7 separate regions of the Mus musculus genome follow, and all the other regions are reported to be linked to region 7. Evidence: microRNA targets listed by miRTarBase, many of them from high-throughput screens and not tested one by one. Region 7 holds a microRNA gene; each other region holds the end of a gene's coding sequence.

Evidence for each region. Region 7 holds the annotated microRNA mmu-miR-466n-5p (GUGUGUGCGUACAUGUACAUGU, at 2,006-2,027, opposite strand). A microRNA usually pairs through its seed, bases 2 to 8, with sites in the 3' UTR of a target mRNA and lowers its output. Matches are read on the target gene's strand: a 7mer-m8 pairs with bases 2 to 8, a 7mer-A1 pairs with bases 2 to 7 and ends in A, and an 8mer does both.
Region 1: miRTarBase lists Ptpre as a target of mmu-miR-466n-5p. Seed matches in the 3' UTR shown: 7mer-m8 at 2,315-2,321 and 7mer-m8 at 2,230-2,236.
Region 2: miRTarBase lists Tmem47 as a target of mmu-miR-466n-5p. Seed matches in the 3' UTR shown: 7mer-m8 at 3,183-3,189, 7mer-A1 at 3,174-3,180, 7mer-A1 at 3,142-3,148 and 8mer at 1,865-1,872.
Region 3: miRTarBase lists Mbnl3 as a target of mmu-miR-466n-5p. The part of its 3' UTR that is shown has no 7-base or 8-base seed match.
Region 4: miRTarBase lists Havcr2 as a target of mmu-miR-466n-5p. Seed matches in the 3' UTR shown: 7mer-m8 at 2,003-2,009.
Region 5: the mRNA of Oxsm is a reported target of mmu-miR-466n-5p. Seed matches in the 3' UTR shown: 7mer-m8 at 3,305-3,311 and 7mer-m8 at 2,371-2,377.
Region 6: the mRNA of Rhobtb1 is a reported target of mmu-miR-466n-5p. Seed matches in the 3' UTR shown: 7mer-m8 at 2,059-2,065 and 7mer-A1 at 2,040-2,046.

Annotation. Positions count from the first base shown.
Region 1 is chr7:135,682,400-135,686,631 of GRCm38, reverse strand. It overlaps Ptpre (protein tyrosine phosphatase, receptor type, E), which reads right to left. Exons shown (of 21, transcript NM_011212.3): 21 at 338-3,400. The coding sequence ends at 3,326. Among named protein-coding and RNA genes, the nearest start is that of Mki67, 32 kb to the left of the region's middle.
Region 2 is chrX:81,093,617-81,097,848 of GRCm38, reverse strand. It overlaps Tmem47 (transmembrane protein 47), which reads right to left. Exons shown (of 3, transcript NM_138751.2): 3 at 1-3,397. The coding sequence ends at 3,219. Among named protein-coding and RNA genes, the nearest start is that of Tmem47, 25 kb to the right of the region's middle.
Region 3 is chrX:51,117,670-51,121,901 of GRCm38, reverse strand. Mbnl3 (muscleblind like splicing factor 3) reads left to right here. Exons shown (of 8, transcript NM_134163.5): 8 at 884-4,232. The coding sequence ends at 895. Among named protein-coding and RNA genes, the nearest start is that of Mbnl3, 86 kb to the left of the region's middle.
Region 4 is chr11:46,478,118-46,482,349 of GRCm38, reverse strand. Havcr2 (hepatitis A virus cellular receptor 2) reads right to left here. Exons shown (of 7, transcript NM_134250.2): 7 at 1,095-3,063. The coding sequence ends at 2,904. Among named protein-coding and RNA genes, the nearest start is that of Havcr2, 25 kb to the right of the region's middle.
Region 5 is chr14:16,237,140-16,241,371 of GRCm38, forward strand. Oxsm (3-oxoacyl-ACP synthase, mitochondrial) reads right to left here. Exons shown (of 3, transcript NM_001359883.1): 3 at 1,513-3,931. The coding sequence ends at 3,529. Among named protein-coding and RNA genes, the nearest start is that of Oxsm, 4.1 kb to the right of the region's middle.
Region 6 is chr10:69,288,871-69,293,102 of GRCm38, reverse strand. Rhobtb1 (Rho-related BTB domain containing 1) reads right to left here. Exons shown (of 11, transcript NM_001252637.1): 10 at 4,048-4,153; 11 at 1,312-3,583. The coding sequence ends at 3,414. Among named protein-coding and RNA genes, the nearest start is that of Gm40685, 21 kb to the left of the region's middle.
Region 7 is chr2:10,511,554-10,515,785 of GRCm38, reverse strand. Mir466n (microRNA 466n) reads right to left here and starts at 2,045; the gene lies at 1,952-2,045. The region is part of intron 10 of Sfmbt2 (Scm-like with four mbt domains 2); the gene reads right to left. It overlaps Mir669m-1 (microRNA 669m-1), which reads right to left and starts at 2,996; the gene lies at 2,899-2,996. Mir669m-2 (microRNA 669m-2) reads right to left here and starts at 2,352; the gene lies at 2,255-2,352. It also overlaps Mir669o, Mir466g, Mir466h, Mir297b and Mir466d.

The sequences.
Region 1 (4,232 bases), not on the chromosome of region 7:
GTGGGACTGGAATAGTTTGTTTGGTAAAGTGTTTGGCTTGTGAGCATGAGGACCAAGTTCAGTCTCCCAAATCCTCATAAAGAAAATGGGAATAGTGTCACACTTCTGTAATCCTAGCACTGGGGAGTTCAGATAAGAAAATCTCTGGTGCTCACTGGCTGGCCAGCCTTGCCCAGTTGGTCAGCTGCGGACCAGTGAAAATCCCTTTCTTAAAGAGGGTGGGCAGTATTCCTAAAGCTGACACTCACCATTGTCCTATGGCCTCCACATGTTTCTGTGCACACACACACACACACACACACACACACACACTTAAATGGGAAGACAGAAGCACAGGTACAGGCTGGTAGTCAGAGATTTATTCTCGAATCCGGATGTTTTCAATCTTGCAGTTCACATGTCTCAAGAATTCAGCGACATACACTGGCATAATCAGAGCAAGATCAAACGATAAATGTGATCAAGGAATAATATATGAGAGTTGGAACCATAACACATACACATATTATAAAGATTGCACATAAATTAAACATGACTTGGTTACAAACAAAAATATATCAGTAAATATACATGAAAAACAAAAACCAACAACGTGGCCAAATGCTGAAACACAGGTATCAGGCTCATTTAAAAAGGTTTTAAAAACACATAAAACTACCTTGGAAAACACAGGTGTGCATTCCTCGTTCATCCAGCCCATGGAGAGAGAGTAAAGCAAGTCACACAGTGACCAAGAGACGCACCTGATCAGAACGCTCAGCTCTGATGACTGTTTGGCGTTGAGCACAACCGCATGCAACAGAGAACTAAGAAGGTTGTCGGTGTCATAAACACCGGAGCTTCTTTGAAGGAAGAAGAAAAGGACATGCCAGGTACACAGAGAAGATGCTGAGACCGCCCTCCTCCCCCTAGGAGACCCCTTGTACACAGAGGCTCTGTGTCTTACGGAGGCTGAATTTTGCTATGGCATTAGTCAAGAGACTAGAGGGATTGGCCCCTCCAAAGTACAAGTGCTGCCCCAACTGTGCCCACAGGAGCGTGGCTTCTGTTTTTCTCTGGAATGAGACAAGCTGTTTAGAAACAGGCAGGGTCTCTGCCTGCAGGAGAACCTGGGGCAGCCCCAAGGTGAGGAAAAACACTCATTAGAATACTTTTCTAGACATCCTGAAAAGATCTACCCTAAGGCATTTCTTGATACAAGAGATGCCTGGGATTCTAAGGACCAGTAACTAAGTTGGGGTGCCAAGGTGCGTGGCCGAACTTTGGCTTGGGACCCATGTGAGGTCACCTTAATTCTAGTGGGCTTACTGCCCTCTGTCCCGCTTCAGTTACAGCAAGGCGTTGAGCTTGGGTCTAAGATGGAGACAAATGAGACCACTGGCCAGGGAAAGCTCCTCCATCTTCCATCTTCTGCCTGTGCTCCAAGGCTGCTCAGAGAAGGGGAGCTCCCACAAAGCACAGGCAGCCAGCCCTGCCTGCAGCTGGTGGTGGTGGTGACAGTGGCCACTGTCTGCTTTCATCCTGCATGCTGAGTGCCAGCTTGTGCCTCTGGATGGGACACTCAGAGCTGCGGGGCTTGAGATAAGCGTGGTGACCCGTTCACCTGTATGAAGCAGTGACAGACCCTGGGGTTGTCCCTTGTACACGAACAAGAACAAACTGTGCAATAGGCGAGCATGATCAGTCCTCCATGGAGATAAGGCCTTTGTATTTTCATTTCTCTTTTAAAAAGTTTAAAAAAAAAGTTCCCAAACTGTGTTCAAAGCCTTCAATGAGTTAGACCAGATGTCTTTTTTTTTTTTTTTTTACATTGTGCTCATTTGCTAGGTATCTAAATGCCATAGGAAGATAATTTTTATTGAAGTCAATGTTTCTACATTCCTCCTCCTCCTCTCCCTCCTCCTAACCTACCCTCTCAGGCAGTGCGCCTGTCACTGCCACCTGAACTCAGAGGTCTCAGCAGCCTTTCCTCCAAAGGTAAGTTAGATTAGGATCTTCCCCCCCTCTCATTTTTAAAAATTAAACACCAAGAGGTGGGACATTTAAGAAAAAAACTGTACAAATCTAGATTTTTAAGAATTCCTTTCTTACAAACCATCTTAACTTTTTACAAAGAAAATCTGACATCCTGAAATGGCTATCAGCAAATTGACAGTGCAACAGTTTGTGGCCATTCTACCGTGTGTGTGTGTGTGTGTGTGTGTGTGTGTGTGTGTGTGTGTGTGTGTGTGTGTGCAGCTGTGGTTGAGTATCAGCAAATTGACAGTGCAACAGTTTGTGGCCATTCTACCGTGTGTGTGTGTGTGTGTGTGTGTGTGTGCAGCTGTGGTTGAGCCTGTAGGCCCAATTAGGGTCAGTACAGGCAGCTGTGTCAGTGGGCGGGCCGTTGGGAATGAGCTTGAGTGGATTCTGAGCCAGGCACACAGGCAGGCAGCAAGTGGTTCCAGGAACACAGCTCAGATGGCTAGTTTGGAGGGTACTGGAGGCCTGTGAGAATAGATGGCCTGGTATAACACATCTCTTTATCAAGCCTACAGTGGCACTACACAGCCTCTCATGAATGCCTTTTAAAACTCATAGGAAAGTCACCACCATCTACACCTTGTACATCTGAGACCTGGATTTGGGTTTCAAAACCCTCTGGGTGTTTGTTGTTTGTTGTGTTACAGAGTCTCACTGTAGCCCAAGCTGGCCTGGCCTGACCTGGACCAAATCCTTATGCCCCAGCCTCCCACGTGCTAGCAGTGCAGTGATGCACTGCCGTGTCTGCTTCCACTCTGATCTTTCAAATGCAAGGATGGACCACATGGCTGAGACCCAGGACTCTACCAAAGCCCCCATGCACACTGTTTGCCACATTCCGATGCCCTGGGTGCGACAGTTGGTGGGGAGAGTAAATGTGCTCTGACTCGGAGTCCTCTACTGGTTTCTCCACAGGGGGTTTCAGGGGTTAGTGTCTTCTCACAAACACATTTGACATGTTAAGAACTACATTTACAGATGCATGATGTGTGACACCATGTGACACCTGATGTGGGACACCACATAACATGAATCTAATAGAACTAAGATACTGACTGGTGTTAGCAGAAATATATATCTTTCCAGATAGTATTTGACCTTAACATGTTATTCCAATTTTTAAAAAGGGCATTTACAATTTAATAACCTTACAGCAGGTAGCCTTTAGAACATAACAAAATATATACAAAGGAATTAGGAAGGATATTAATATCCACTAGGAAATAAATTAACATGATCTCTTTTTTTTTTTTTACAAAATATACTGACCATTAAATTAAAAAATATTTTAAGGCAGGAATCTTCATTTGAAATTAGCATAATCAGAAAATATATCGATAAAATCTTGTACCACTTTGTAGCAGAATTCATATTGCTCCTGAAAAGAGAATGAGAGTATATTAGTAATATATTAATACTAAGCAGCTTCACACATACCTGATGCATGTAATCAGAAGATGAGCTAGAAGCCCAGTTGTCAGTCAGTCTGCTGATGCATCAAAGTCCGGGGCTCCCTCCCACACATCAGTTTCTGTTACACAGCGGGCCTTTTAGGCATGAGCCATGTTCTAAACCAAGCTGTTTGTCCATGCAGAAAACATCAATTTTTAGGTTCACACTAGTGTGTTTTCAGTATGGTCTTTGGAAAACAACTCTGCTTTTCATATTGACATTGGAAAATATTTTTTTTTTGTGTGTATGTGTGCAGGTACACATGTGTTAGCTTGCATGTGGAGGACAGAGGGTAACCTCAGGTGCCCTTCCTCAGGCACTGTCTGCTTGATTTTTGGAGACAGCATCTCTCACTTGGCCCAGAAATTGCCAAGTAGGTTAGGCTGGCTGCTTGTGAGCTCCAGGAAGCCTGTCTCTATTTCCCAGGTGAAGGATCACAAATACATGCCATTGGGCCCATTAGTGTGTGTGTGTGTGTGTGTGTGTGTGTGTGTGAGAGGGAGAGAGAGAGAGAGAGAGAGAGAGAGAGATGTTTGTTGCTCATCCTAGCCTGACTTCCTACTGTAGCCTAGGATGACCTCAAACTCTTGATCTTCCTGCCTCTACCTCCCAAGTATTGGGATTATAGGCATGTACCACCACACCTGAATGGAAACTATTTCTGAAGTGGAGAAAAGGAAACTACCAGGGTTCTAATACTGAAGAATAAAGCTCACACTGCCTAATTTATAACTGTTAATCAGATGAAAATCACATGC
Region 2 (4,232 bases), not on the chromosome of region 7:
TTAATTTTTTTTCCACATAGATAACGTTAGGTCAACTACAAAAATCATTAAATGAAGAACAGATAATGGGACTGCACACTCAAGCATCACTGGAGTGACAAACAGATTTCCCCAGATGACTTCTAAGTGAAAAGAAAAGAAAAGAAGAGAAAAGAAAAGAAAAGAACAGGATAACATAAACTCATATTTAAGTAGTAAACATGTCAGATATTTAAAAATAATAAATACAGAATAGCAGGAAAGAAACTATTATCATAAAACAGCATGGAATATATTTTATTTTCTTTAAGACAGATGAAATTTCTAGGCACAGTTTTAGGCATTAAGGAGGACACAGAGGCATAGGTTAGTGTGCGCTGCTCTGTACAAAAATACAGTCTGAATAAATTACATTGCTAGCCATACAATTAGACAATCACTTACCAGTCAGTTCACTGCATGTTTAATAATATACAGGTACATGCTTATCCATATATATCATTTATATTTCAAACACATAAGTCTCTCTATATTTGTCTTTAAAATTTACATGTTGACCTTACAAAAAGCTAAATACTTGTGCAAGAAATCTGAATAGCTAGCCCTGCTGAATAATGTTAGGGTTTCTCTGTGTGTATATCATCTCTCTAAGGTAACCATGGATGGGTTCATGACTAACAACTCTGTTTAAGAAAACACCAATCCAACCTAAAGCTAGAAGAAATGATGCTACTATAGCTGAAATTATCACTTGTGTTTATTCAGATAGACACATTACTTAGGACAAGAAAAAAAGGATTTCCCCACTGTACTAAGCTTTCTTAGTAATGAAAAAGTTCCAAATATGGTAAAAATGTAGCTTAGGGCTCGTTAATTGGGAAGGGAGAAAATTACAGAAAGAATCTATTTTTCAGTAGATTACAAATATCTGTGCTTCAACCTGTAACATAGCCTATCACTTTTTGGCTTGCCATGTGGACAGAGAATGGAAGCTCTATCATATTCTTGATATTGGTCTAACTGCACACTGTATCCTTCAACAAGCCTCACTGATGCCTGCTGCAAAGTTTTCATCGCCTCTTATTCATTCAAGAATAAAGAGGTCCTCTCACAAGAGGCTGTGGTCTGTAGCTGAAATCCCTATCCAAATATCACATTTCTTATTCTGTTCTCCCAATATGCAATGAAGTTTATAAGAGAACCTATCCCAGATTTTGATTTTAAGAAAGCGGCTTCAAAATAGTCTATAATACTAATCCCTTTCTGGAAATTTTCCATTCAGTTCCTTATGATTCTTGATAGAATCATACATTTTCATAAAGTTTGATCTCTAAGATGCATTTAATAATGTTTGTCTATCACCACTAAAATAAGAATGAATAAGGTATTTATATTTACTTTGATTCCATAGGAAATTCACAATTTATTTTGACATTTGAATAAAACATTTTTCAGGTCAGGGAAAGACAGTTGTTCTTGGCAACCATTCTTAAGATAAGCTGAAAGCAGAAATCTGCTCTGGGAGGTAAAGCAAATTATTAAATGCTATTGACACAGTCTTTTTCTTAGTGAATTGTATAATATATTAGTAAATAGATACATTTTTAATGTTTTCTTCCCCAATGTTTCTGTCTTCAAGAGGGTCAAATGAGAGAAAACTTGCTTTAATGTCTTTGTTAACAAAAATAATCATTTATAACTTTCCTATCAGAATTGTATATTTTATATAAAAATAGGCTTATACTTAAACTATCCAGATTTGTATAATAAACAGAATTAACACAAGTTTGCAGTAAAGATCAATTGCAAACTTATTCCTTATTGTTGATGTTTTCTTCCCTTGGAATAGTCAGTGAATAATTTCCCTAACATAAATTCATCACACTTGTGTGCACAAATCAGTTAGCCCATCATTTAACTTCAGAGGACCAGGTAACAACGGAATACTACTCATCTACTGAGACTTTTAGACATTTATAGAAATCTATCACTATTCCTTTATTTTAAAATGAAGACATTTAAAATACTTGCAAAAATAGCAGCCTTGTATTTTAATGAATTTTACACAAAGTGATCATTCTAATTCCTACTCTCTTTTGAACTACAATACTTATAAAAGAATCATTAAATTTCAGATTAACAACATTTCAATTTTACTTCTTAGGCAATTCTATTAATACTTTCCAATGAATCAGTAGAGAACACAGAGCAAAAGCTTTAAGGTATATGAACTTTTGTATGGTAAGTAACTGTGAATACTGAGTCTGTTGATGCATACAAGGTTAGTGTTCAAATTGCTTCACTAGAGCAAGTATTGATTATATGAATGATAGGTACATGTATGTGGACTATTAATGAGCAACTTATTACCAGTATGGTAATGGCTTGTGGTGTAGAAGAATAAGCTTGTTACATATGGACAATTGTTTGCTGCAAAATTTTTAAAGGATTTTAAGGGTACAAAAGCAACTCATGCACATTTCTTTCTGATTGCCCCAGGGGAAAGCAGACACCCTCAATTTTATAACTACATAATGAAAAACACATGTCTCCAAACGTTGACTTCCTTCCCAAGAGATGATAATTGGTAAAGTATAATTTGCTATTAAAAAGAACAGCCTTAAAGGTAGAATTAAATGGCTATATCTATGATTCTCATTAGATGCCCAAATGGCAGTTTCAAATTCCAAAGCAAAGTAACCAATAACCAATATAGCCACTGCGCAATATAAACAGGTGATAAGGGCTCCAACAGTAGAAATGTCAGAGCAATGGAACTTTTACATGTTGCTTATGCAGCTGTTTCCCTGCAGGCAAAAAGAGACTCTGGCAATTCTCATTCCAACTAGCTTCTCAAAATGGTTGCTGTCATACAGATCCTTCACATGTCAAGAGAAATGGCATAAGCATATTGGAAGTTTGCAGCATATGCCTATATCTAATCAGCATTCTTAATTTGTGCAGGTCCCTAAAATGGATATAAAAGCTGGTTATGATGTTGACACCCAAAGGCAAGGATATTAAATCAACTGAGCAAACTGCTTGAGGCTCCACAAGTGTTTTAGAAAATAGTGTTAGAAAAGATGTCAACACAAATCTTTTGTTGGATGGTTAGTTTCTCTTTTTCATGTGGTGTGTGTGTGTGTGTGTGTGTGTGTGTGTTTGTGTGTAATGTGGTGTGTGTAGTGTATGTTTTGTGTGTGTGTGTGCATATGTGTGTTTGTTTTTCAGACTTGATTTTAGTAGTAGTCTTCATAGTTCTTAGGGTTCAGGCAATAAAGAATGGCACCCCCAAATGAAAATATAGTTGCACCCCAGGCCAGGCCATAACCCCAATTGAACTCGTGGTAAATTTTCAAGCTCACAGTTTCAATGAACTTGATTGGATAAAGAACCAGGCTGCAGACCTGCAAAACAACTGGAAAAAAAGAAAGCAAACAAAATTATGATGTTATTTATAGCAAATAAAACAGCAAAACAGTGAGTTAATTTTTAATGAAATAAGTATAAGCCAAAAAATTAAAGCACTTCTAATTCCAAATATTATCTTTTAAAATATTAACAGCTTTATTTACTTAGGTACTGTCACAATACTGTAATCATTGCTCTGTTAATGACTTGTAGTTGCTATTAGCAAAAATGAAATTATTAAAAAATTAATTCATGAATATACAAAGTGATTCTTGCTCTGCAAACACATGTACAATTATCACTAATGACAGTACTATTTACACTAAAGTATTTCATATAATATCTATAGAGTTAATAAGAGTGGCCTCCATGCAGACTTAAGCCCTCATTATTTATTTTTGAATTTAAGGAACTGAAGAATTCAACATTTTAGTGATAAAGCTGAGCAACCTATAGCAACCTATTACTTAATAGATGTTCACAATCATCTGACTCAGCCAATATTCTAGAAAGACTAATCTTAATGTCTTTTTTCCTATTACTCTAATAAGAAACTACTTTCACTTTTTCTTCTCACACAGTCCACACCATTCATCTTAAAGAGACTCAAAAGTCATCTTTGCCACAAAGCCACAACTAATTCTATCCTTTTAGTATATCTTATACTTATTTGCATGTACATATATTTCCCACAGGTACTCAAAAAAGAATTAATTAAGGAATGAGGAATATAGATCCAAAAAAAGAAAAAAAGATAGGACAAGAAGACTACTATAGCAGAGACAAACTTTAGATCTTAATTCTTAGTTGGCTCTTAGTTCTAACTCAGGAATGAAAGAGAA
Region 3 (4,232 bases), not on the chromosome of region 7:
CTGCAGTCTAGCATTTGGTTGGAGGAGGCAGCTGATCGGCTTGCTTGTGCCCTAGTTACCCATCTCCCATCAAGAGGTCCCTGATACTGTTTCAGACAAAGCCCACAGCTATTGCACCCTATATAAGCAGATTCCCCCAATCATAAGGAATGTTTTCCAACAAGGTGGAAAAACTGAAGGAGCTAGAAGTTAGAATCATTTTGCAGGTGTTATTTGGAATAGCAGCAACTTGGGAAAGCATGACAATGGAGGTTTGTCCAGTGCTTGCTAAGTTCTCAAAGGGAGCTATACATCAAGGCAAAGAAAATTGAACGTAATTGCTTTACGTAAAATAGGTTTGGGAAGAATGATTTGTTTTTCCACTTGATTCCTTTGGTAAATGAGGTGTTTGGCAGAGAATAATCATATTCACATGTGACAGTTGTGGAGATTTTCTTCGAAGATCAAACCTGTCACTTTGTATAATAGTGTATGACTTACTCAGGATATTTCTACAAAGGTGTAGGATCGTTTGATAAAAGTGTAACACTGCTTACTATTGGAACTTTTCAAACTGTTTGGTATTAAGTACATTTTGAAGGCACGTTTCTTTTGAATGAGATGAACCAATATTTAGGTGATGAGCAAAAATTTTGGCATTATATAGATAATACCTTAAAAATGGCCCACCATTGGAACCTCCCATAGACTATCCCAGCAGTGTGTCTGTTTAATGATTTAATTAGCCCACTGTCACAGAGGGTCTGAAATTCAGAGTGAAGAATATCTTGGATTATTAGTCCATATATAGAAGTGGAATAAAAACTTGTGTCAGGTCTCCTGACACGTTGTTCAATAGCCCTTCAGTATTTCTTACTGACTCTTGTTTTGTTTTCTATTTCAGTTGAAATATTGAGCAGCAGAGTTACAGAGTATCAGAATCTCTCAACAAGAAACTCCGTGTGGCCTTTCTATATGTATTCTCGTATGTCTTCTTGTACCAACACGACAATAAGCATGGTGCAGTCAATATACTAAAGCGCATATACCTGTTGACAAATTCAAATTTTAAAAATCTGTGGAGATGTTAAAGCAAATAGAAAATTAACCAGTATGTGTTACCTTATACGGATTCATTGTATATGAATTAGCATACAATATACAACCATACAGGTTTGTCATGTATATGAATTATCAGATCCATATTACATGAATTTTCCATATGATATGAATTACCATATTGAATATAACTGTAAAATGTTGTGACTGCTTTCCAGTAATGGTTTATAATAAATGAACTTCCACAGTGTACTGTAGGCTTACTGTATACTCTTGGTGGATAAATTCTGTTTTGGAAGTGTTACCTTACTGTTTTGTTTACAAGATAGTCTATAGGATTGATGTAGAATGTAACTGATATTTCCCACACCATTTTCCTCCATTGGTATATTGTATTAAATTGGGTTCTGCTTAGCTCTTTCATGCTATAGTGTTTTCTTGTTTATACGTGATATTTGATTTCAATTAAAGCATCATAAGTGGTGAACAGAACTATATGTGACTGAAAAATGTGACAGGTTCATGGTAATATGCCCTCTTTAAAACATTTCTGCAAGTTTCCGGAGGCCTCACTTCTGAGTGTGCACAAAATCTCTTCATATATAGAATTTTACCTGTAGATCTGACCTTGCATAGTCAATAATATACTAAATTTTTAAAAGAGAAAAAAACTTCCCTACATGTGATAGGAAAGTTCAAATGTTAACCTCAAACCATTCCTCTTAAATAATTTGAGAATCAAGTGTTCACATTCCAATAAATTTCTTAGCATGTATAAAAATTACGGAGAGTAGCCATTACATTTATTGTGTTACAGGAATCCTATCTCTCAGCTTGAGTGTCTAAATTTGAGCCATTTGTCATCTTCAGCTGAGAAACTGGTACTAACTACTTTAAAGGTATACTAATCACAGGCTGAAAATCAAGCAGAGAGATGTGGGCGTGGAGACAGTTTTTATGTACTGGAAGAAAGTGTGTAAACCCTTTGCATTGTAACCTTTTGCACAAATGCTGTTTTCCAAATGCAAATGGCTCGTGCTCTTTTGACTATTCTTTGAATAATAAGTAAGATGCAGTCTGGCAAAAGTCAGGCCAGGTGAAAGAAAATTGTTTCCAAATGAGGCCTTGCCTCCCCAAATGGACCATCTTTTCTATTGATCACAGAAGGAGGCTGAGTACAGGTTTAGAGAAATGGCAGGAATGGGGGCAGGGAGAGATTTAAAATGACTGGGAATGTGCAAAAGAACTAGAAAAGGTTTCCGAAGTTGTCTTTCGGTTTAGTTTAATTTAGTTGAGTTTCCAGTTTTTGTAAAGGCAGCAGTGAATTAGCAAGCATTTGTGCTACTGTATGGACAAGGGTTTCTCTGCCAAAACTTTAACATCAGAGGGTTGGCTGTGGGGGGGGGAGATGATGATTTGTTCAGTTTTGTCTCAGAACCAAACCTATTTTTGTCACATCTGAACTTACTTGCCTTTGTGTGTGTTTCAAAATTAGTTTTAACATCCTTTGGTTAATAGAGAATAGCAATAGCCCCATGGAGGTGTGATATGAATTCTTCTTAACTAATACTTAGGAAATAAGCTACAAATATGGTAATCCATCTATTTCTGTGACATATAGTGTACTTCTTCTACTTAGCACTACTATTGTTATAAGAGGGAGGAAATGTATTTTCCAAAAGCCTAAGTAAATTGAATATTTTATACTCAGTATATATTCTCCCACCAGAAAGCATAAAATCAAATTTTTGTACATATAACAGTTGTTTTTCTTCATGAAAATCGGGAGGAAAGAGAGACTGTCCAGGATATCATAAGACAGGTAGTTGGATTGATTTGCCAAACAGTGACATTGGCAAAGACTTTATTGCCTTTTCTACGGTTGGTAAAACAGAGAGCCAGACTGTGTGACTTGCCTCAGGCTGGCTGCCTAGCCATTGTGGGAACCAATTGCTCTCCCTCTTTACATCTTTCTTTGGAACATTTGAGACTCCTATGCAAAGCAGATCAGATCGGCTCAGCATTTTAAAAAAGCAAAACTACCTCTGGTGGATGGTATCTCATTGATCTTAATTATCCAGGTGAATCCTGGTTACCAGTGATTGCTAAATACTCTTGTTTTTATATTGGACCTCCGCCCTTTGTTGACTATTGCCTGGAGCTAAGAGATTGAGAGTTGTCTGTCCTTTTACCTGTGGGCTCTTTGAACCACTATATTTCTGTTTTCTAACATCGCAATTCCAGGAAGAATCTACCTGAGCTAGTCTAGATGTAGTTATTAATGGATATGGAAATGTTTTGTGCAAAATAAACTTTTTGTAGTTTGACACTTTGGTGCAACATACTATCTGGTTTAACTTCTTAAAATTTTGATCAAGATATATGTAGATGATAAACTTAGAGTAGAGTTGTTCTCTTGTTGCTCTAAGCACTGGAAGATATTAATGTTGACTTATATTTAGGAGGAGATTCAGTGGGGAACATTCAGGGTAGTTGTCTTTTTGGTGCGATGAGTTTAATATAAGTGTTAGCATTTTAAAAGTTGCAATGTACATGAAGCTTAAGAAAGCAAGCTCAAAACTCGAACATTTTGATCAAATTTGATGGAGTTTTGAGGGAAATGAAACTTTAAGCTGGCACTCTAGTTGTGCAGTGACTAATGATCTTATTGAAGAAAAGACAAGTCATTTGACTATAAATTGAGTTAACCAGACCAGTCACAACCAATCAGTGACTCTAAATGAAAATTTACCCAAGTATTTGTATATAAACCAAATTCTAATCAGATGTGATTTCTAGTTAGCATTTTTTAGTTTTTGTGTTTTGCCATGGCCTCTATTTTTATTTCTCCAAAATTATTGGCTTTGTCCATCTCAGCCTTTTGCCAAAATTTGCAAGAACACTGAAACTTGGATAAAATGTGTCAAACCTACAAATAAGCAATCTAAATTTGTCATTTAAGAAGAGCTTAGTTTCAGTTTTTGCAAAAAACCATGAGACCGTAATGAGTAGGAACTAGAATGAAATTGAATGGATTCGTACAACTGCTATTTAAATACAGTGTTTACTTTTGAAATTGGAGCATGAATCCACACCTAGCTATTGCTTTTCATTTGACTTTTCTAGATAAATTTTCAGTTTTCATCTATTCATGAAAGCAGTCTGCTTGCTATTCCATCAGTCTTGCTCTGCCG
Region 4 (4,232 bases), not on the chromosome of region 7:
GTGTATTGTTATTGTGTCTATACGTGATAAGTGTGTGAGCACAGGCTCAGGCAGTGTGAATGTAGAGGTCAGAGGTCAACTTTCAGGAGTCAGGTCTTTCACCATAGGGTCCAGGGATCAAACTAAGTTGCTGCACATCTGTGTGTAGTATATGTGCCTAAGCACTTACACAAAGACTAGAAGAGGGAATCATGTGTCGTCCTCTGTTTCTCTCTATCTCTATAAGGCAGGGTCTCTCCCTGAACACCAGCACATGAAAAGTCCCCATCCACGCTTTCCTCTTCAGGTCTTCCCTCTTCAATTAACATACTTAGGATAGGTCTTCCCGCCTCAATTAACCCAATTTAGAAAGTACCTCACAGGCACAGCCAGAGATTCATCTCTAAGGATTCATCTTGACCCTGTCAAGTTAGCAATCAATATAAATTATCACACCATATAATCAACCATTCTCTTGTTTCTCTGCTAGGCTGGAAGCCAGGAAGCCCAGTCATCCCCAGTCATCCTGCTCTCTGACCCTCTCCGCCAAAGTGACAGGCCTGCAATAGATTCCAGCCTTGTTACATAGGCGCTGAGTTCCAAACTACAGTCCTCGAAATGGCACAACACTCCCTCTGAACAGCTGAGCCATCTCTCCACCCTCTCATTTTGAAGCCTTTAAGCTACCTCTTTACCATTTCCTGGTCCCTTATACTACCTCATTTTTCCTGTGCCACCCACCAACTCCATCCCAAATACTTGATTTTAAGTGACCCCAAGTCTAAAACAAGGGTTCTAGTTCCAGGTTACTGCCTCCTTCTGGTGTCCTTGACCTGACCCACTTTCTTTGATGGGGACAGGACACAAGAAAATGTTTAGTGGATCTTCCCACTTCACTTAACCTAATCTAGAAAATGCCTCACAGACCCAGGCAGAGATCGACCTCCAAGTTGATTTTATATCTGCCAAGTTATAAATCTTATATAAACTGTAACACCGTGTAACCAACCATCCCCCTACTGATGTAAACACCACAGCAGTGACCATCTTTATATACATGCCCTTGCTTAAAGACTGTCAGATAAGGACATCCTTGAATAAAACCATTGATCTGGTTTAAATATGCTCAAAGTACTTTGCCAGTACAGTTTTATTACTTTAAAACATTTGAGATTAGTTTTCCCTTCTGCATGAGAGCTGTTATCTCTAATGGATTTTGTTAGATGGTCTCCCTTCCATACCCACCTAAGAAAGCCAGGACCTCCACAGCTAGCTAGAAGCAACCTAAACAACAAAATTCATACATGAAAAAACGGTACCACAGGTTTTGGTGTCCTCACTAACAGATGTCCTCTGATGTACACAGTTGCTCCCCAATGCAAAAAAATCTTTGAACAAAGCTACCTTTCTGCTCACTTAATATTTTCACTCGGGGTCTATTTAATTTGATTCTGTTATAGATGGGAGCCAGCACAGATCAAGGGCACTGGGCAGGCAGCTGTAAGCCAGATGAAACTGAGGTCCACCGGCTTGGAAATCAATTTGGTGACGACTGTCCTCCCAAAGAATATTTTGCTGACTATATAGATTGCTGCAAGAGCTCTGCCTTCGTATGTCCCAGTCACCGGTTGTTCTTCTGTCAGAAACAGCTCCAGTTTCCTCCAGGAATGGAGAAGTTGTCTGAGTCAGTTCCCCTTGAGCACACAACAGTCAAAGTTTGCCTTTCGCAGGGTTTCCTTTTACAGACAGCAGGCTGCTTGCGGGTAACCTTTTTCTTCTGTAAGAAGAGTCTGGCAGTGTTGGGCACAGTGCTCCTGAACTCTCCACGCTTCTGCTCCAGCCTTCTGAGTGCTGGAATTAATTACTGGACTGCTCTGCCATGCTCCCACTCATGTCTTAACAGAGGCAGAGGAGAGTCCTGTAGAGATACATGTTATAGAGAGGTAGCAGGCACAGAGAGAACCTTCATTTCATGTGTGTGTGTGTGTGTGTGTGTGTGTGTGTGTGTGTGTGTGTGTGTGTGTGTGTGCAGGTTCATGTGCATGTCTCTTCTGAGAGCAGAGGACAACCCCCATGGACATTCGCCAGATACTCAGTCCATCTTACTTTGAGACAGGGACTCTTGTGGACTTGGAACTCAGCACCTAGGCTAAGCTGACTGCACGCAAGCCCCGGGGATCTGTTGTGCCTTTACCTCTCCATCTCTTGAGTCTACAAGCATGCTCTACCAGGCCTAGCTTTTTCATGTGGGGTCTACGATCAAATATAGATTCCTCGTGCTTGTACAAAATGCACCTCACTGTCCGAGCCTCATCTCCAGCCTCCTGCTGTCTCTATGTTTATTTTCGTCTTTGGATTTTGAGACAGTCTTACCAGCATAGCCCTGGCTGACCTTGAACTTATCACCCTCCTGCCTAAGGTTCCCAAGTTATATAGTGTTAAGCATATGCCACCTGGCTTTTTCTTAATCTTTCAAGGTCAGAAATCTCTAGAAAAGCTACCAACTTCTTTAGATTTTCAACATCAACAAAGAACCTCACCTTCCTATCTTAGCCCTTTATTCCCCCTACCTGTTCAGGAGCTTTGCAGATATACCACAAACCTCTATGTCTCAAAGACATCACACTAACCATTCCTAATGTATGAAAGCACGAGTGAGCTTCAACACGCATGATTGAAGTCTCTGGAGTGGGAGATCCGATCCCTGAAACTCAGGGATAAAATGGAGCATTTCAATGTAGCATGAGTTACAGTCGAATCCCCTTGTGAGTTAATTATCCCCAGAAAACTGGAACTCTTTTCTCAGTGGCTGTGGTCAGAACCTCCAATGAGGTTGCCAAGTGACATATCACATAGTTTTCAAAAAGGGAAATACCAAAGTCAGAAATGAAGGCGAGCCTTTAAAAGTGGCAGTCCAGAGGCGGTCAGGATGGCTGCTGGCTGTTGACGTAGCAGTAGTACTCATTTGAATTCTCCACTTCATATACGTTCTCCTCGATGGTGTAGATATTTTCCTCAGAGCGAATCCTGACTGCTCCTGCATTTGCCAACCCTCCTGGAGGCAAGTTGGCCAGTGTAATAAGGCTGTAACAATCAAATGATGAAGTTGATAGAAGAATTTCCCAGACAACAGGGAATAGAATTCAAAGCATATACTTCACTAAGGACAGCAGCTAGTTGACATTCATGGCCCTTCACTACATGCTCACTGAAAGAAACCCAGACAGGAATTTGTGGAACAATTAAGGACATGTAATTGGATCTTAATTGTCTTAGGTATGAATGCCATAGGTCCCAACTCTGAGGAGGCAGAGGCCAAAGTGTTTGGGATGTGTCAAAATGTATCCAACATAGTTACAAGCGGTTGAGAGAAAGCCCTGTGCTTACTGAGAATTAGACAAGACAGATGTTCCGAGTGTCAAGTAGGAGGTGAAGATGAAGGGATTGAATGTCCCTTGAACTGTTATTTCAACCCTCTGTGTGCTCACCTTTTGAGTTTCAAAAGGAAACTGTGATTGTGTTATAGATTCAACACATTTGGGTAAACTCGTTTATTTGGTTTGGTTTTTTGTTTGTTTGTTTTATTTGTTTTGTTGTTGTTTGAGGTTAGTTGCTTGGTTGCTCATTTGGCTTGGGGTTTTGAATGGTTTTCAGCACTATATTTTATATTTATTATACAAACTATGGGTTTCACGATGAACTTTTCATGGCTGTCTATTTTACACTCTGACTGTATTCACACACCTCATTTTCGTCTCCTGTTCCCAGTCTTCCATCTGTTTTCACATCACTCATGTGCATGTGCACTGTTTAACTCACATCAGTTACACACCGTTCTGTGCATCTGTAGATTGCAGCAGTGAACGAAATACATATAGCCATAGAAGCCATGTGTTAGGAAACCTCATGCCTCAGTTTTCTCATCTGTAGAAATGGGAATAATGAGAGCCCTGAAGCAGGGCTGCTGTGAGGAGCACCAGATCATTCATGTATTCATTGGAGCTGATTATTAGTATTTTTCAGGCACTGGGCTGGAGTTTTCATAGCAGTGCTACAGGGTTACAGTGACAGAGCTTGACATTGAGCACAGCACTGCACAGATACTAAATTGATGCCTGTCCTCATTGCCTATTGTTGAGGACAGCATACAATGACGGGGACTGTCTGTAGTAGGCCGGGATGGAGACATCTTAGTCACCCGTGGCAGTTCTTTGTTAAAAAAAAAAAAAAAAAAAAGTTGCTCTCATATTTTT
Region 5 (4,232 bases), not on the chromosome of region 7:
AAGGGCCATCTAGGTTGAGAAGAAGTAATGAAAGAGGAGGAAGAAGTTAAGAAAAAATGGGGATTTAACAAAAAGGTGGGGGAAGAACCAAGATCCAGTAAAAGACCAGCCCAGTCTACTTGATGGTCCTCTGGCTCTGAGACACTATCTTTCCTAATGGTACTTTCTGCCTGTTTTCATCTCTTCTGTGTCTTTACTTACATCATTCCTGGGCATTTGGTTCCTTATTGAACTCTGAGAAGAGCAGGGCCTCCTGGGCAACTAACCCACGACTTACTCCCGTCCTTCCTTCCTCTTCCCTCAAAACAGCTGGTGCAGAAGGTTGTGAGATTCAGTCCCTCATAGAAAACGAGAGAGTAGAGTGGAAATGCGGCAAGCTATAAACTCTCAAAGCCCACTCCCAGTGGCATGCTTCCTCCAGCAAGGCTATCCCTCCTAAAGGTTTCATAGCTCAACAGCACCACCAGCTGGAGACCAGGTGTCCAAATACATAGGCCTATGAGGTACATTTCTCATTTAACCACCGCTCTTTGGTAGCCTCAAAGTGAAATATATACATACATGGCCTGGCTTTTGGTTAGTAGTCTAGGAAGCATGGACTGGAACAAGAGAGAAATATTTCAATTAGGGGCATATGAGTGGACTTGTAAGAACCATATTAAGAGTGAAGCCTTATGGGCCACATGTATACTCACTCCCCAGAAGCACCTGCATAGCACAGATGCAAATGGCTGCCAATTTACATTAACAAGTCTTAGTCACTAGCTATTCCAAAGCACACACAAGATGCATCTGGCTAACAAAAGTGGCAGAAATGGATCTAACAATATCCACGGGTTACTTGCATAGCTTGTGGAAGTCCCTCAAGTCTGCATTCTAGTGTCTTATGACACATACACAAGGCAGAACCTCAGAACTGTCACACAGGTTCAGTATCTGTGACCAACGAACACTTAAAAAGAACTGAATAGGCAGGGTCTCAAACTGAAGTGTTTGTAACCACATGCTCAAATTACAGGCAGGCAACGGTTGCCTGGTATGTACATGGATACTGGGAATCTAAACTCTGGCCCCCACACTTATGTGTGAAACAGATGACTAACACCAATGGCTCACATTGCTCAGGAATAAAATCTTGGGTTTTGCCACCTGGGAGACCACCAAGACCTACCAAGATGATGGTCGAGGTGACTGACATTACCATCTAGGGTTGTTGTTGTTTTTTTTTTTAATTTTTTTTTTTAAATTTTTCGAGGCAGGGTTTCTCTGTGTAGCCCTGGCTGTCCTGGAACTCACTTTGTAGACCAGGCTGGCCTCGAACTCAGAAATCTGCCTGCCTCTGCCTCCCAAGTGCTGGGATTAAAGGCGTGCACCACCACACCTGGCCATCTAGGGGTTTTGATTGGTTTCATTTTCTCTGCCAGTTAAAGAATCAAAAGGAAAACTGCTGTGCATGATGTATAGCAGAAGGGAGAATCTCAAACACAGCTGGCAGAATCAGCTGATGAAGACTTTTTTTGTTGTTTATCTTACAACATTTTTATTTTCATTTATATTATTGTACCAAAAATAAAAATTTCATTCACCAACCATGAATTACACATTAAAAACAATTTCTTCCTTTTAAAGTACATTTTTGAGTTCATACAATATTGTTACATTCAAATAGTGAATTTTAAAATTAATAATTTTTCTTTCCCAGCTTTGTTTCCCCTTAACTGTGTGACCACAGCTTGAAAAGAATCACACTGTCTAGATTTCATTCCCATTCTGATATAGTCTACTTAGTGCTTTTCAATCATTTTACAGGCAACAGTTTTGAAAGGAGATATAATTGTTGACAATGTTTAAATGACATTTACCGTAGGGAGAGGCTCACCATTGTATGTGCTGATTGCATTATTAGCTAGTGCTCTTCCCAAGGATGCATGTACAGTATACACAACAATCCTCTCATTGTTTTTGCCTTTTTTTTAGCTCTTTTTTTAATTAGGTATTTTCTTCATTTACATTTCCAATGCTATCCCAAAAGTCCCCCATACCCTCCTCCCCCACTCCCCTACCCACCCACTCCCACTTCTTGGCCTTAGCATTCCCCCATACTGAGGCATATAAAGTTTGCACGACCAAGGGGCCTTTCTTTCCCAATGATGGCTGACTAGGCCATCTTCTGCTCCTCAGGGAAAACACTCATACACATTATTTTTTTAAAAAAACTAAAACAAGAACAAAAAGTTTTAAGTAAAATGTGAGACTGCTCCCCATTCTGCAGAAAGGCACATAGGCATATAGCCATTTATCTCCTTTTTTACTATCTCCCTTTCTCTCACACTGTGTGTGTGTGTGTGTGTGTGTGTGTGTGTGTGTGTGTGTGTGCCACTAAGAAAGCAGAGGCCAAAAGGCAGTTTGTCATGGAATTGGAATAAAAATCATTAAACAGTACAAGGACAGAAAGCCATTAAAGGTGTTACTGAGCCCAGGAAATGTAGGCACTTGACTGAAGCTCCATATCATTGTGGACCTGCATAGACATGAAAACACTTACTCAGAAGAGATAAAAGCCCTGCCTACCAAATGCTTTCCTGGATGGCTGTCACCTCTGAAGAACTTGCTACCCTAGTAGTAGGAAGCTTGGAGAACATTGTCACAGTCACAAAGTTAGAAGTTAGAGAGGAGCTGGCCTAACTTAACAAGAGTTTTTTCCAAAGATCTTTATGTCCATTCACCACATCACAAACATATCTAGAATGAGAAAAGCCAAACCAGCCAGGCTATGCTGGTGTACACCTTTAATTGCAGCACTTAGGAGGCAGAGGCAGGCAAATCCCTATAGAGATCAAGGTCAGCCAGGGTCTATAGAGTGAGTTCCAAGACAGCTAGGGTTACCTGAGTAACCATGTCTCAAAGAAGGCGAAAAAAAGATGACGAAGAAAGGAAGGAAAGAAAGGAAGGAAGGAAGGGAGGGAGGTCGGTCAAGAACAGGCAAGAAAAAGGAAATCCTGTTTTACTTCCTCCTTCAGAGAACTGAAATCTTGGGAGCTTGGGGAAATTCCACCAAGGACACTACATGGGTCAGGGGTGAATCACTGGCTGACAGCTGTCCTAAAGGGATGCTGAGTGGTGATACAAATAGGAGTACTTGTATTGTAGTCCTGTTTATATGCTGTACAACAGTGGTGACCCTAGAGTTAGTTACACCATGGAGCAGCACAGCCTTGCTCAGAGAAGCTGGTCTCTAAATAAATATCTGAAAAGGACCATGATGGATGAAATCGTGCACTAGAAAAACATAAATCAATGGTTCTGTGTGCAGGTTATTCTGTCCTCCATAGACATTTCTGGTTGTCACTAGTTGCCACTGAAATCTCAATGGAGACACCAAGATGCTATAAAATAACAAGTACTGGGCACCCTGTTCCCTACCAAAGAACTATACAAATACCAATTGTGCTAAAGTCATTGGATATTGATATAAGACATATCTACATATATAATATTTATAAATTTATGACCATTAAAAGCCAGTGTTTACATGCCAGCAATACAAAGAGTTGCATTAGTACCACCAAACCCAAAGGAATTGGTGAGTCCAATACACCGACCCTCAGCTTTCCATTCCTGTGACTCCAGTGGAACATAATTGAGATCAAATTCAGGCTCTGTACAATCCAGGTTTAAAGTTGGTGGGAGTTTCTGGTGGTAACAAGCCAGTGCAGTAAAAGTTGCCTCAACTGCCCCTGCAGCACCCAGAAGATGCCCAGTGGCTCCCTTTGTGGAGGATATGGCAAGGGCACAAGCATGGTCCCTAAAGAGCCTCTTGATGGCTCTGTTCTCAGCGGCATCACCCAGTGGTGTGGAAGTGGCATGTGCGTTGACATAGGATATCTGCTCAGGTGATACGCCTGCATCTTTTACAGCAGCAGCCATGCATCTGGTAAGAGAAGAAAATTATCAAATAAAGTTTAATAACAGGAGATTGTTCATCTGAGTAGCTTGTATAAGATCAGTGTCACAGCAAAGACCCTATGATCCACAAAGCTAAAAGTAGCTAGTTTTTGTCCCTTTATAGGAAAGCCTGCTAAACTTCTGGCTGATTTAATTGGATAAAACATAATACAGTTTAAGCTTAGATGGCATCATATAATCAAGGACTTTTTTTCAAAGTGTGGTCTTTAGACTGGAGCTAGTTAGAAATGTAGAGTCTTAAGCATCAATCTAGATCCGCAGTCAGA
Region 6 (4,232 bases), not on the chromosome of region 7:
AGAATCCAGTAAAAGTTAAAAGTACAGGTACATACAGCCATGGCCTAGGTGCTTAACCCAACCCCATGCCTTTTGCTAATGGCTCCTACCCGTTTATGCGCCTGCTGCTTCTGCTTCTTGTTGCTTTGTGATTGCTTACATTCACAGATGCACACACACACTGCACACACGTATTCTTTATGGCCAGCCTTCACCTCGGCAACAACTTTTAGGCAATGGTCAAATTCTTTCGGAGATAGATATTACTGCTGCTTGCATACCAGAATCTGATTGTGTCTGTCTGTCTATCTATTATCTATCTATCCTATCCTATCCTATCTATCTATCTATCTATCTATCTATCTATCTATCTATCTATCTATCTATCATCTTAAGGAAGTAATTCAAGAGAAGGACTTGTGAGTCTTGGGCTACAAAGGATTCATTCAGAAACATGGCACCAACATCCCCATACTTGGGAGACAGATTGCTTTCCCTCTGGTACAATTTAGCCAGTGTCAAGAGACAAGAAAGCCGAATTTGGAGAACTTGGAGTTTTAGGATCTTTGAGCTTTTGAAGCTGACTGCTGGCATCTAAGAGTATTTCAGCTCCTTCTAAACCAGTAGGATCTGTGCCCTGCCCCCCCCCCCCCAATCTCCAAGGTGCTTCTCTAGAGGTACTAAGACCCATGCAGGGGTTTCAGGCTTCCAGGAAGAATTTACAGTAGAACTGTGTGCAGGTTCTGACTGCACTGCTGTGCCTACGTGCAAAGTCGCATGAGTGGAGCTGTGTATTGGCACGGGAGGTGCTGGATGCATTTCACTGCTTGTCTCCTATGCTTGTCTGAGCGAGGTTCGACTCTTTCCCCATGCAGTTACAAAGAACTCAGCCCCTCCGTAAGATCTCATGAAAGCCCTTGCTTCCATGGAAGCTCTGGTAACCTTACATCTAGCTGTTATAGATAGCGCCTTGCAGAGTCTTTCTCAGACTTGCATTTGAAGAACTTCCTCATGGGCCTACCAGTAGAGACCTTTTATATTTAATTGTGTGAGGATTTGCAAACCTCCCACTGCAACCATTCCAACAGAATGGAGATGTCATGGTCTCCATTCCTTAAGACTAAGTGAGCCATGGTATTGTTCAAGAAAGAGCCAAGGGGCACATGCCCCATCTACATGTTGGGAATCTCTGCTGAAAATAGCTAAGCACAAATGGCAGTCATTCACCATTTGGTTTCAACAGGTGGCTCCAAGGGTGCAACACCTTTGGGGCTGGTAGCTTTCAAAATGCTATTAAAATACATGTGAGGATTTTACACAAAAGTCGAGGCATTTTTTTTTATAGCTAAACAATTTTATTTGCTTTCTGTGAAATTAAAAAAACAAACAAACACAAAACGAACCATCGTGGTTAAAGGCGGATCAGTGTCAACCAAATGAACCAGCCACTTGGTTCCAGCAGCTGTGAAGAACACGAGAGGATATTATTGCTTTCGTCCCATGTTCATGTATGTGTCTGTTGTGTTTTGGCAAGAGTACAAGCGGATGGAGCTTTGGTTGTTGAAGTTCAACTAGGCCTACTCACTGAAAACAGAACCTCTAGGTGGCTATATGTTCCTTCTCCTCAAGTCTTGACGTGTACTCTTTCCTTCCACCCACCTTCTCTTTCCGTCAGCCATTTGCCCTATTAACAAAGTTAAGGGGGAAGGCTTGATAAGCTGTCCCCCTCCCCGCCCCCCTTCCCCTGCGGCTCCCTCTCTGCCACAAGAGGGTGATGCCTTCCTGGGTCTTTCTAAGCTCTTGTATCTGGTATGTGGCCATGCCAGAAACAAAACGCCTGCCTGTGGTCTACACAGCTTTTCAAATCCATATGGCATTTGGACTCAACTGACTCTTTCCTGTCTTCAGAAACTCCCTCCCCCAAACAAAAACAAACAAACAAACAAACAAACAAAAATCAATAGCCCTTAGCATCAGTAAGGTGACCTCTCAACAGAATGGGCCCCGGTGTCCAGCACACGACATCCCGTGGCAGGTGTGGAGCTGTGACTCTCTGATGATTGTGTGTGTGTGTGTGTGTGTGTGCACACACGTGTATATTATACTGTAACATTTTATCTGCAGAGAGGCAATGACGTTGATGCCGCTTGAGAGCTCCCCTGCTTTGCAAGTTCTGTTCTAACACTGATCTTCCCAAGGGACCCGGGGTCAGAATTACCACATAATAGCACCATTCCCCACACTCTTAGGATTTGGCTCCTTTCCCTGCTTGGAGAAGGCAGGACCTGGCCCCTAGCTTTGTGCTTTCACAGGCTCTGTGGTGAGACCGAGTGGAGAAGCAGGTGGTCTGCCTTGGCCTACTTTAGTGGTGACCTGAATTTTCCCTGGGAAGAGTTAAAAAAACAAAAAGAACAACAACAACAACAACAACAACAACAACAACAACTTGTCTTACAAAGTGAAGTTGGCCTCAGGTGTGAGGCCGAGGTGATTGACCTGAAGACAGTGGGATGAGCCTTTTCCCTTTCCCTTATCTCTGTTCAGGCCCTAGGACGGTTTGCTGGTGAAGGCACAGCAAAACCACAGAGCACTTTTAAGTCACCAACCCTGACATAGTTATCCAATGGTAGGACTCGAATGGCGTTGTAGGGACCCGGGTCCGGCAGTCAGTCATGCCCCTGATAGGATTGGGGTGGAATAAGCCCTTGTAATGATTGTAAGGATTGTCCTCTTTGAATCTAGACCTCTTAAACAGTAGGATATTTGCCCTCACTGTAGCTATATGGCACGGATAACCATGTAATTACTAGCACTTAAAAAGGAGATCCTGTAAATACATAATTATACCAACGTGGCTCATCAGAGCAAAGATTAAGCGCTTCTAGCTTGAATACTTCAGGCCTCTTCAGCTCAACCCTTTACCTCCCAACGAAAGGATAACTCTGTAATTATGAGTGATGCTCAGTGGTCACGTGGGCTGAAAGAGTCACGGGGGGGGGGGCAGCTTCGTGGTCAATGTGTGGCCTATAAAATAAAGTAATACACAGTATTGTCACCTCAGTGAAATACAAGAGTCCATAGAAAAATATTCTCCAATCTGGAATCTGAGACACGAAAGCTGGATTTTGTTTTTTTTTCTTTGTATCAAAAGGAACAAAGTAACGGACTGAAGTGTAGTAGCTTCCTAACCAAGAAAGAAAAAAACCAAAAGGACATTCTGGTTGAAGGACTTCAGAGTCAGTCAGCTTTCCTTTTATGTCCCTGCTCATTGGTGGCAGGGCTTGTGCTTTGATCCTGGTGGAGGTAAATGCACACGAGTGGAAAAGCCAGGGCCCCAGACCCAACTGTGCGGATGGCTAAGGAGACTGGTTTTTATAGTAGAGCTGTCAACAGTGGAGGTGGCCCTTAGCGGGTGACGGTCCCCTCTCTCCTCCTCAGGCGACAGCTGGGGACGAATGCCAGAAACACCACTTTCTCCTTGAATGGTGCTTGTTCAGCGCCAGGTCCTCTTTCTCTCGTTCCCTCTTCACACGCTGGTAGTGGTCTTCCTCCTTCAGGTACCACACAGGGGGCCAGCGGTGCCGCTCAAAGTACTCCTGGTTGTCTGCGGGGAGAGGGGGAAGAGACTGCCCGTGATTCCTGCTGCCCGAAGACTGTCCTGGATGCTCAGTCCTGCTTTTTGCCATTCGTAAACCTCCCAGCATGCTGGCATGGCTGCCCACAGATGCTGAGACTAAAGTCTAATGTGTAGACTCTATGCTAGGCACACAGACCCAAAACCACTTGATTTTTATTCAGAGTTAGACCCTGGCTGTGTACCCCTAAATGAGGGGAGGCCTTATGTTGGCATGCTCTGCAGTGGGGTACCCTCAACTCCACTCCCTTCTTCTCTAAGTAAGACATCCTGCAAAGAGATTCCCCTAACCGAAAATTCTCTGGGTCACGTCACTTGAATGTGTGACTTCCGCACACTCAAAGGGAACTGACCACCGAGTCTGGCCCCTCCCAAGGGGTTTATCTAGAGAGGGCAAGCAATGGATGGCAGGGAGCTCGCAGACATGCTCTTACCTGCTGACTTGGATTTGATTTCCTTGCGGAACTTGGAACAGACGCTGTTGTAGTTGGTGCAGATGTGATGCAAACACCAGGCAGCTAGCTGATTGGCATTGTGAAACTGCAGGAAGGGGACCAGATTGGGCTCAGACTCTTGTTTGCTGAAGCGAGGCAATGGGCCAGTGCTATGGCTCAGCAGG
Region 7 (4,232 bases):
CTGATCCTGGACTCATGAATTTGAGAATGAATTTCCACTCCTGATCCTCCTGACTCTGGCAAGCATTTTCACCTTGTGAGTGAGAGCACCCACTGATCCAGCCCTGCATAATCTCTAAAACTTTAAGTCACATGTCATTTAAAAGTATCAATGAGTGCCATTCGGGGTATGTGTGTGTGTGTGTGTGTGTGTGTGTGTATGTGTGTGTGTGTGTGTGTGTGTGTGTGTGTGTGCCTGTGTGTATGTGTTTGTGTGTATTTATATGTATATTCATATGCACACATACATTAGCACACAAAACTATGCAACATGAACATACACTGGGAAGGAACCCATAAAGCCAGGCTGATCTCTAAGCCATTTTGAAGTTATTCATAAATTTGAACTCCTAATCCTTCTGAATATGGGAAGCTTTTTCACATTGTGAGTAAAAAGTTTCATTAGCCCAATACTACATAATCTTTAAAGCTCTATGTCACACATCATTCAAATGTATCAATGAATGCCATTCCATGTTTGTGTGCTTGCATTTACATGTATGTTTATGGTATGTATATTTATATACACACATGTGCATACACAGGGACGTAAACACACATGCACATACACGGGTGGCATCACATGAATACCAGGATGATGTCCAGCTGAAGTTAAGCATGAATTTGAACTCCCGACCCTGCTCAATCTGTAATATGTTTGCACATGGCGAGTGAGACCGTTCACTGTCCCACTACTGCATAATCTCTAAAAGAATAAGTCACATAGCATTCAAATTAATGGATGAATTCAATTCCTCTGTGTGTGAGAGTGTATGTGCTTGCATTTGTGTGTGTGTGTGCGTGCGTATGATATATATATTCACATACACACAAGCACATGCACACACAAATATACACACATGGACATACATGGCTGAGAATCACATGAATCACAGGCTGATCTTAAAATCATCATGAAGTTAAGCATGAATTTGAACTCCTAAAACTCCTGATTCCAGCATACATTTTGACCTGGAGAGTGAGATCACGCACTGTCCCAGAACTGCATAATCTCTAAAACTCTAAGTGACATATCATTCAAATGGATCGATGAGTGTCATTTGTGTGTGTGTGTGTGTGCCGCATGTGTGTGCATGTGTCTGTATATGCAAAATCATATACATACATCCACATGCACACACACGAAAACACACATCGACATAAATGGGTGGCATCACATGAATGATCTATAACTGAAGTTAAGCATGAATTTGAAATCCTGATTAACCTGACTCTGTCAATCATTTACACCTGGTGAGTGAAACCATTCACTGTCCCCTATTGCATAATCTCTAAAACTCTTAAGTCAGTTATCATTCAAATGGATTGATGAGTGTCATTCTTGTGTCTGTGTGTGTGTGCTTGTGTTTATACGTGTGTGTGTATGTTATGTATATTCAAATACACACATAAACATGCACACACAACTATACACACATGCACATGCATGGAGGAATCACAGGCTGATCTCTCATGAGGATAAGTATGAATTTGAACTCGGGATACTCTTAACTCTAGCAAGGATTTTCACCTAGAGAATGAGAGCACTCACTGGCCAAGTACTGCATAATCTCTAATATGCTAAGTGACATATCATTCAAATGGATCAATGAGTGGCATTCGTGTGTGTGTGTGTGCTGCATGTGTCTGTACATGTATACTCATATATATACATTCACATGCACACACCTGTAAACACACATGCACATACACGGGTGGCATCACATGAATACCAGGATGATGTCCAGCTGAAGTTAAGCATGAATTTGAACTCCTGATCTTCTTGAATCTGCAAATTGTTTACACATGATGAGTGCGACCATTCATTACCCACTACTACATAATCTATAAGACTGTAAATCACATATCCTCTGTGTGTGTGTGTGTGTGTGTGCACGCACGCGCATGCAAGCGCACATGCACGTGTGTCTATGTATGCTCTCATGTATATGCATATTCATATACACACATGTACATGTACGCACACACAAACACACATGCACATACACAGGAGCCATCACATGAATGCCAGGCTGATCTCCAACTCATCATGCAACCAACATGAATTTACACTCTTGATCATCCTGAATCTGGCAAGGGTCTTTACCTTGTGAGTGAGAGCATTCATTGGCCCAGCACGGCATACTCTCTAAAACTCACATGTCACATGTCACATGTCACTCAAAATGATCTATGGGTGCCATTTCTGTGTGTGTGTATATCTGTGCATGCTTGTATATGTTTGTGTGGATGTATATGTATATTCATATACACACATGCACATGCACACAAAACTATACACACATGCAAATATATTGTGGGGAACCCCATAAAATCAGGCTGATCTCTACTCTCTTTTGAATTTATTTATGAATATGAATTCCTGACCCCTCTGAATATGGCAAGCTTTTACATAGTGAGAAAAACTTTCATTTGACCAGTACTACATAACCTTTAAAGCTCAAAATCACATATCATTCAAACATATCAATGAATTCCATTCCTTGTGTGTATGTGTGCATACGTGTGTCCATATACATGTATGTTTATGTTATATATATATATATATATATATATATATATATATATATATGTATATATATATATATATATATATATTCATTTACACAGATGTACACGCACACACATGTAAACACACATGCACATACATGGGTGGCATCACAGGAATACCAGGATAATCTCTAACTGAAGTTAATCATGAATTTGAAATCCTGATTCTCCAGACTTTGTCAATCATTTACAGCTGGTGACTGAGACCATTCACTGTCCCACTACTGCAGTCTCTAAAACTCTAAGTCACCTATCATTCAAATGGATCGATGAGTGCCATTCCTGTGTGTGTATCTGTGCTTGCTTGTATATGTTTGTGTGGATGTATATGTCTATTCATATACACACATGCACATGCACACAAAACTATACACACATGCACATACATTGGGGAGGATCCCATGAAGCCAGGCTGATCTGTACACCATTTTGAAGTTACTCATGAATTTGAACTCCTGATCCATCTGAATATGAAAAACATTTTACTGGTAAGTAAGAAGTTTCATTGGCCAAGTACTACATAATTGCTAAAGCTCTAAGTCACATATCTTTCAAACATATAAATGAATGCAATTTTTTCTCTGTGTGTGTGTGTGTGTGCTTGCATATACACATGTGTTTATGTTATGTATATTCATGTCAACACATGCACATGCACATACAAGTAAACACACATGCACATACATGGGTGGCATCACATGAATACCAGGATGATCTCTAACTGAATTAAGCATGAATTTGAAATCTTTATCCTCCTGACTTTGTCAATCTTTTACACCTGGTGGGTGAGACCATTCAATGTCCCCTATTGCATAATCTCTAAAACTCTACATGACTTATCATTCAAAGGGATTGGCGAATGCCATTCCTGTATCTGTGTATGTGTGCTTGCGTTTATACGTGTGTGTGTATGTTATGTATATTCAAATATAGACATGAACATGCACACACAACTATACACACATGCACATACATGGAGGAATCACATAAATCACAGGCTGATCTCTAAATTCTCATGAGGATAAGTATGAATTTGAACTCCTGATACTCTTAACTCTAGTAAGCATTTTCACTCTAAGTCACTTATCATTCAAATGGATTGATGAGTGCCATCCCTGTGTGTGTGTGTGCGTGCGTATCTATGTGTGCGTGTATGTATATGTATATTCATATACACACATGTACATGTACGCACACACAAACACACATGCACATACACAGGGGCCATCACATGAATGACAGGCTGATCTCTACCTCATCACGCAGTTAACATGAATTTGCACTCCTGATCACCCTGACTCTGGCAAGGGGCGTCACATGGTGAGTGTGACCTCTCCCTGGCCCAGTCATACAGAATCTCTAAGACTCTAAGACACATATCATTCAATAGAACAATGAGTATCCATTTTCTGTGTGTTTGTATGCATGTTTGTATGGGTATGTGTGTATGTATATGTATATTCATATACACATGTTCATGCACACATACATATACACACAAGCAAATAGATTGGGGGCATCACATGAATCCGAAGTTGATCCCAGACTCATCATGAAGTTGAGAATGAATTTTGACTGCTCATCCTCCTGACTCTGGCAAGCATTTTTACCTTTTGACTAAGA